Oryzias latipes: one gene and its partner. The protein of the gene in region 1 interacts with the protein of each later gene in a biochemical or structural test. Links are inferred from orthologs where the notes say so. Each region holds a gene or a part of one and is shown on either strand. Other genes may lie near its edges.

Evidence for each region.
Region 2: the proteins of xrcc1 (region 1) and pnkp form a complex in vitro, tested with the Homo sapiens proteins (3 studies listed by BioGRID and IntAct, with this or other methods). The link is inferred for Oryzias latipes from reciprocal best matches to the Homo sapiens genes XRCC1 and PNKP.

What each region holds. Positions count from the first base shown.
Region 1 is NC_019874.2:25,075,516-25,079,904, reverse strand, and holds the start of xrcc1 (DNA repair protein XRCC1), read right to left. Parts: upstream 3,036-4,389; 5' UTR 2,890-3,035; intron 2,676-2,889; 5' UTR 2,589-2,675; coding exon 2,538-2,588; intron 2,444-2,537; coding exon 2,351-2,443; intron 2,152-2,350; coding exon 2,044-2,151; intron 1,958-2,043; coding exon 1,799-1,957; intron 1,144-1,798; coding exon 1,069-1,143; intron 318-1,068; coding exon 194-317; intron 1-193. UniProt on the Homo sapiens protein: Scaffold protein involved in DNA single-strand break repair by mediating the assembly of DNA break repair protein complexes. Negatively regulates ADP-ribosyltransferase activity of PARP1 during base-excision repair in order to prevent excessive PARP1 activity.
Region 2 is NC_019871.2:32,537,919-32,541,738, reverse strand, and holds part of pnkp (bifunctional polynucleotide phosphatase/kinase), read right to left. Parts: intron 3,751-3,820; coding exon 3,671-3,750; intron 3,531-3,670; coding exon 3,473-3,530; intron 3,360-3,472; coding exon 3,252-3,359; intron 3,181-3,251; coding exon 3,109-3,180; intron 2,988-3,108; coding exon 2,939-2,987; intron 2,572-2,938; coding exon 2,501-2,571; intron 2,384-2,500; coding exon 2,291-2,383; intron 1-2,290. UniProt on the Homo sapiens protein: Plays a key role in the repair of DNA damage, functioning as part of both the non-homologous end-joining (NHEJ) and base excision repair (BER) pathways.

The DNA of each region.
Region 1 (4,389 bases):
CGGTTTTTTCCTGCTTACAAGTTCACCGGTCATGTCCGATCTGTGCCACATGAGAGGAAAAAAAATCGGAATTGGGTCACCTCAACCATGCAGTGTAAATGCGGCCCACATTAATTAAGTTACAGAGCTTCTTGTTGGCTGATTTTTTCAAGTAGATCTGAAAAGGATTCTGCCATTTAGTTCATTTCAATACCTTTAGGTGAAGTGCTCGACTTGTTTGCATTTTCTCGGTTAAAGAAGAGACTTCCGGGTTGCAGACTGGACCCAGATGAAGGCGACTCATCCTTTATTCTGAACTGTCCCAGCTTTGTCACTTTCTGAGCGGGAAACACAACGAAGGAAACAGAAGAAATAGGATGGTGGGACTCACAATTTGTGACAAAAAGTTCCAAAGTTGTTTGACAACACTCCCATGTTGGTTTTTCTGGATTCCCTCCAGATTTGTAATTAAAAAACCAAACACATTGCATCTACCACCTTGTGCAGTGGTTCCTCACTATATTGCAGTTCACCTGATGTTTTAATGCAGTTTGTATCCTTTTTTATTTGTTTTTTTAACAGCACATTGTCTTCTGCATCCTAATTGGCTGTATTCCCAAATCAACCTCTTCCATACTGTCTATCCTACACAGAAAGCATTCAGTTTGCCACATTTACATACATCCTCTATCACTAGCATATCTATGTTTTTATTCTCTAACAATGGATTAATGCTTTAATCAATGTTTGAATTTTAAGAGTTTAAACAAGAGAGAAAAGTGTGTTAAGTGTGCAGTTAAGGGGTTACATCTAAAATAGTTTTAAAAAAAAAGACTAACAAATGACACTAATCCAATAACATCACATTGCGTTTATTGAAATCAGAATAGTTTCAGTTTTTGCAAGATTTACATACATTTATAAAACTTAGATGTGATGAAGTGCATGAGTGCTGAGGTGCACCCACTAACACTTGAGATCTTACCATTTTCTTTATGAGAGCGTGTGTTAATAAGGCTAATTTAGTGTTTCCTAACTTTTAAATGGAAAATAAAATAGAAAAAAAAAAGTTAACAGTGGTTTACTTACAGGGGAGGAACTTGGAGGCTCATTTTTGTCAGGTGGAGAGTGGAACTTAACAAAGGCGATTCCATACGCTATGTTCTGTAAGGCACAAAAAAAAAGCTTTCATTTCGGTTAACGGTTAGTCATGAAGCTTCAACACCAAACATGAAGACTTTACTGTTTCCACAAACTGTATTTTGTTTGACAGCCCGGTAAGTTGCGTATATTTTCTTTAAGTTATAGATGTTTATCCCAACACTTTTGCTATTTTTGTTCTTAGTTACGTACACAAGAACTTTGAGTCAATTTAGAAGGAAATATCAACATTAGCTTTTTCTTCCCACTGCTTGTCAAGCAAATAATTAACCTCTTTGAGACAAACCTCACATTTAATGGATTTAATGTGTCATGTACTGTAAGACTGGCAGGTTCATTTCAGTTGGCTGAAGGTGAACCACAGCATGAACCATGTGTGCTGTGTGCACTAAACATATGATAACTTTACTCCCCCAAAGCACTTCAATAAATCCAATTGATCAAAATGACACTTTTATTAACGACAAGGAACAAAACAGATGATATGGAAATGTACCTCGAGCCGCAATTAATCATCCAAAGTTTGCTAAATCTATGTATAGATAGATATTGGTTTTTCTTTTTTTTTCGTGTATTTTTGGTTTAGATTGTTTGAAATAAGCCAAATCCGATTCTAAAAATGGAGATATTTGTTTATATAAATGGTCAAAATCCTCACCTTGTTGTATGGCTGGCTGCAAACAATTTTGACTCTGTCCCATTTCTCCTGAGCTGTGCTCTTCTGCAGCTGGTTGGGTCCAAAGAAACGCACGCGGTTCAGGTTAGATCCGTTACGACTTTCCGTTGGAGACATGAAGGAAGATGTGACGAGAAGAACCTGAAAGAGTTTTTGAAATTAGGGCACATCCTGTTAAGTAACAAAGAGTAAAGATGGGGGGGGGGGGGTATTTTTTGAAGAAATACCTCGTAGTCCTGAGTTTTAGGGGCTGAAGAGTTTGCCACCAGCACCTCAACAAAAGCGGATCCTTCATTTCCAATATCGATACTGTGCACCTGCTCCTCTTTCTCAAACTGAGAAAAGGAATAAGAGAAGGAATAAAATAAGTCAATTTTTTAAAAACATCCAACTTATGCCTGTATTTCAATCATTTTATCTATGGAATGAAGTGGAAAATCATTCAAATCAGCCAGTTTTGTTTTTTGTTTTAACAAACTAAGCTCACATCCGTAACTGAAATGCATTAACTTGAGTGTGAAAGCTAAATCAAACCTGCAGAATGACTGATGTCTGCTTCTCCCCGGCTCTCGCTGCTTTCCACTTTCTGTAGGTGTCTGAGCTCAGCAGGTTGTCCGCTTTGTGAGTCTGTTATATCACAACGAAGAGTGGGTTTAATAAAGCCATGAAGCCACAACTAACTGCTACACTAAAAAAAAAAAAAACACAGCAAACAACTTACATTGTCCTCGGAAGTGCAGGATACGACGTGTTTGAGTTTGATTTCTGGCATTTTGGTATTCCTGCTACTAGTGTTTTTAATCCAATAATCTATCTGTCACTAAGTGTGCCAACCGGGCGCTGTTGTGACTGTTTTAACCTGGCGAGAAAACACAAACGTTCAGCTTTTCGGAGTGACACTAAATAATGCATAGAAAAGTGTTAATTACTGATGTTTGACAGGAGCAACAAACTAACTAGCGAGAAAAAGCTAGCAGACTGAGAAAACTGAACTTTTTCGTGAACAGCCTGATCGTTTTAACAAACTGAAAGGCAAACGTGAATTAATATGTAGCTTCATGATTGACACGTACCCGTTAACTTGACGTTATATTAAACATCACAAAGACCACGGTAGGAATGGTTATTTTAAGGTAAACGTGTCTTATTGTTGCTCATTTTCCCACCAAAAGAGAGCAAATGTCTTCATCCAACGCAACTTCCGGGGGTAGATTACCATCCAATAGGCGCCTTTGTTTTCTTCTTTTACGATAAACTAATGGAACAATAGCGTTGTGTCGCCACCAAGTGGACGGAGGGAGCATAGGTTAAATGACAAATAGCTGAACTTTTACTAATAGTAATTTCAGTAATAATTTTAATAATGATGGGTCATATGAATAATAATATTGATAATGAAATAATAAAACAATAATAATATCAACAATGATGATGATAATAGTAATAATAATAATAATTTCAATATCTTTGGCATCCTTGTGGCAAGACCATTCTTCCACTTTCTCATATTTACACATATAAAGATATTACTATTTTACAGTAGTAAAAAAATATATTTTTATATTAAGAAGCAAAGTTATTTTTAAGTTAGAATATTCTAGCTCTGTTCACATAATCTTTCTACACAAGTAATGAGAAGGTTTGTTACCCAAACATGCATTATAAAGCTTCTTTTTTATTATTTTTTTCCCAAACTGCTTTTTTCCAAACTGTCTTCAGGTAATTTAGATTACCTGACTAAATGAGTTCTGATTTATGCATAATTTTAATCATGTTAACTCCAATTTGTAATTTAATTCATAATGCCTGTCATTGACTTTATTTATATATCTGACACCCCAGCAAAACAAAACCAACAGCAATATTAATCAATAAATATGTTGTTTTTAAGTAGCAAATACATCTATGTGCAGTTTCAATTTATGTTGATTTGTCGTTATGATAAGACAATAGTCTTTTATCGGTTATTTACTTCTTTTTTGGTTCGTGTTTTTTCTTTACATCAAGTTTTTCTTAATGTATGAAAAATCCTATCAGAGAAAAATAAAATCTGCCTTCTTTCCAACTTTCACACTTTTTACAATAATTTTCCATAATAGAAAGTCTTAAAACTTAGAGAATATTATAAAATAAAAACTAAACAACTGCTGCCCTGCGTCAGACTGGTGACGTCCAGGGTATAGTCCGCCTACCTCGCCCATGAGTGACTGGTGACCCCGAAAGGGACAAAAACGAGTTTAGAAGATAAATGAATGAAAAATGAATAAATAACCACTTATGTCTACAACCAAACTACATGAAAATCTGCAATTTAAAAAAACACACAAGTATTTATGTGTAAATAGAGAAGTAAATGAATGACAAAGACATAATTAATACACATTGTAAAGGTTCAGTGCCAGCCAGAAATATTTATCATATTTGTAGATATGTGTGTTTGTTGAGATTATATCACACAACACTTTTGCAATGGGTTTTTAACGTAGAAAAAGGGATAGGAGACAGTTTTCTTTTCATTTATTATTATGTTTGCATGATCACAGACTTACAAATAGTCAAAAGTAAGTTAAATG
Region 2 (3,820 bases), on another chromosome or scaffold:
TAACCCCCAAGCTGGAGGAGTGGCTACAACAGATACCTGGAAAGACCTCAGACCTCTCAATCCAGAAAAGAACAGTTCTAGGAACAGCTAAGATACTGCAGGACCCTCAAGCTCCCAGGCCTCTGCTAGAGGACCCGAGCTTAGAGGAGAAACCACCCGCGAAAGAGGGAGGGGGCGTTTTTTATAGGTGTTTATGTAGGTGGGGTCGGTCGTCAGTCGAACGATTTTGTTGGAAACTGGATCTACAATGTACGGCTGGATACCTCGCCGTATATTTATACGCCATTTTTTGCACCGCTAATGTTAGCTTGGACTTGTGAGGTGCTTGTTGCTAGCGGGAGAGTACGACGGAGTTTTAGGGACACGGTGAGGAAAAAAAATTCTGGCCAACGTTTCGAGAAAAAACTCGTCGTGTCGAGATAAAAGTTGAAATAAAGTTTCTATATTAAAGTCGCAATGTTGCGCAAGAGAGATTTTATCTCGTAAATTTAGGAGATAAAAACTCGTAAATGTATTAGATAAAAACTCGTAAATGTATTAGAAAAAAACCCGTAAATTTACAAGATTATTTTGGAAGTGAGCAGCATGCAGAGCAGCAGGTGAACGCCGCGCAGCAGCAGATCAGACCGACTAAACTCAGTTGAACAGGTGAGCTAAATGTTTATTGATAACGTTCCAAATGACTGGAAGCTCATTTGTTTGATTTACAATTTATTAAAGTTTTATTTATTGACGGTTGGTTTGCAGGATCTCTGCAGCCCGATGAAGCCATCGGGTGTCCCTGCAGCTTTCCACTTCAATCCTTTCTTCCTCCACGAAAGACAAGATCTCTACGTTTGTGTGACGCTTCAGTCTGAGGAGGAGAAGCACTTTTTGCCTATTTTAACGTTGTAATGCTAATATAACAGACTATTTTCATTCATCTTTGTTTTTTAATGATCAAACGGGACGCTTCATCTGGAGGAGTGGGTGTATGGAACACTGTTTACTTCTGCATTGGTGATCTGATGACAGATTCATGACGTAAGGTGACAGATGAACTTCAGGGTTTGTGAATGAAAAGGAGAATAAAGGCTGCAGCGGTTCTCTACACCCAAACGTGTCTCTGAGCTCCTTATTTTACATATGAAACGCCGCTTTACTGACACCAAACCCCGGAAAGACGGATCCACTGACAATAATCTGATTTAGAGTCGCCAAAGGCTCAGAATCTCTTTGTTTTAAACCTATAATCCGGAAATAAAGCTTCACAAAAGGCTCCACACATTTCTTCTTCAAGCTAGGCTCCGATAAACGGACAAATTCGGTGTTTTCTCCTTGTTAATCTATGAATTTCTTCCCGTAAATTTACGAGTTTTTATCTCCTAATAAAATTACTTTTTTTTGGTGGCCATAAAACTCTGTCGTAAACTCTGGTACAAAGCCACTAGCTCACTAACATTAGCCATAACACTGAATACTTCTGCTCTCGCGCAACATTGCGACTTTAATCTCGAAACTTTATTTCAACTTTTATCTCGACACGACGAGTTTTTTCTCGAGAATTTTTTTCCTCACCGTGGCCCTAAAACTCGGTCGTAGGAGAGAGAGCAAACAGAGGCATGCTAGGAAATTAACTAGGCTAACTTCCGCGCTAACAGTCCCACCCAAACGCACATTTCTAATGACCCCGTCTGCTCTGCAGAAAATATGTCTTAAAAACAGTTTTTTTATTTTATGTATAAACAGCATAATCATAATTAAAAGACCACTGGGAGCAATGTTACAATAGAAAAAAATAGTTGGACTGGGACTTTTAATAAGCCAAAATTTCTACTAATGGGGTAAGAAAAACGGTCTTATAATGAATTCTTATTTGAAGAAAAAAGTTCCAGTCACTAAGACATGTTTCCTTAAGGCTATTTTGCTGTTGAAAAACTTTCTTGGTAAGATTAGTTTTCTTGCAAGACAGGACAGAAAAAAGGACATTTTTCTTGAAACCAAGGTCGTTCTACTTCCTTAAGATTCCATTTTTGCAGAGTAAGCAAATAAATAAATGAATTTATAATAATTTCAGTCAGAAAACTCCTTCACTAAAGACTTCAGTGTCTCTCCTGACCTTCCTTCTGAATCCAAACGAATGTTTAGAGGCTAAACTTTCAGAATAAGTTTAGTACAGAACAAATATTTTCATAAAATAGAAATGTTTAACAACAAGTAGGCTAATCACCATTATTACACACATTATGAATATTCTATAAATATCTTGATATTTGGGGACAGAGGACTTCGTGGGGGGAATCGTACTCACAGGATCAAAGTCAGGCAGGTTGAAGGGGGCGTTCTTCCAGCCTAAAAAGTATTCCTCCGGGGTGTGGAACTGCAGTCCAATGTTCAGAGCGAACTGCAACAGAAGGAGGGAAACTTGGAGCCATTGATGTTTGGCGTGACGTATGCAGGGGGGGGGCAAAGGAACCAAAAATGAGTAGCTGAGGAAACACATCAAGGCAGCAGCTCTTACCAAACGGTCACTGCAGGAAAAATCCTTCTTCTTTTTGCCAGGAGCCCAGTTTTCTGGCCTCCCTGCAGCGTCTGCACAAACAGACGGCTGCAGCCTTAGTGTGCACTTATGTGTTCGTGTGACCTTTGACATTTACATGACAAGATCCTCATGTCTACAAAAGCAACTAAAAGCTTATTTCTGACTTAGGTTCTTCTGTTATCAGACATACCTGACATGTTTCGACGGACGTCCATTGAAACATGTCAGGTATGTGCACAAACACAACCGTGTCTGATAACAGAAGAATCCAAGAAGTCAGGAAACAGTGCAGAAACTGTGACCTTTATTGAACCAACATAAAGCTTAGTTTTCAAAGGTTTAGCTCTGACAAGTTTGTAATACAACACAGCCTTCTTTTATTCCAGTGTTTGAAACATGCCAGCGAAAAGGACTAACCTCCCACATAGAAGCTCTGTTTGAGGTCAACGGTCACGCCGTCATTAGCCTGGTCAGGAAACACGCAGAGAGATCAACAAATCAGAAAAAGCAACAGAAGACAAAGCAGAGAAAACCTTTCCAGGCCCGTCTGTGAATGTCTGCCGGGGTGTCTGCGTGCTCCTGACAACCTTCTCACACAGGTGGTCCCACATCCCCGTCACTGGTTTCCTGTAGATTCCAGGACCGGCTGCCACAAACACCTGAAACAGGGACAAGGAGGGGATTCCAATTCTGCTTCCCACCCGCCGCTCCAACCTGTAGAGTGACCAACCTGCACGGGCAGCTGCAGCGTGGCCAGGACGTCCTCCACCTTCGATTTGAACACCTCCGGCCTCAGTTTGCCTTTGGCGATCCCGAGCTGGTTGGTGAAGAACACCACCTGATGAAGGAGCGGACACTTTAGAAGCCAGAGTTGAGCACTGCCAGAGCAAATACATTGGAATATTTCAATTACTGGTTGAAACTTCTGAAAGATCTCATTTCTTCGCTCACCTTGTATCCTTTCTTAAGCAAACTGGACAGTTTTGGCTGAATCTCTACGTAAAGAATCCTGGTTATCAAGAAAAAAGAAGGCCGGAACAGCCCGAGCACACAGGTAAATCCAACTATACAAGCCTAAAGACGATAGCAGTGACACAAACGTCCACGATCTTCACGATGATGATGGTAAAAACATGCGAAGCGACATACTTCCAGTCGTCTGGTGCGGTAGGAAAGACTTTGCCTGATTTGGTTGTGATGATGCATCCATCGATGTCAAAACCAGCAATCTAAGAGAAGGAGAAACCCAGAACAGGAGGATGAGCGTCACACAGGGGTCTCATAGGCTCTGTCTGATGA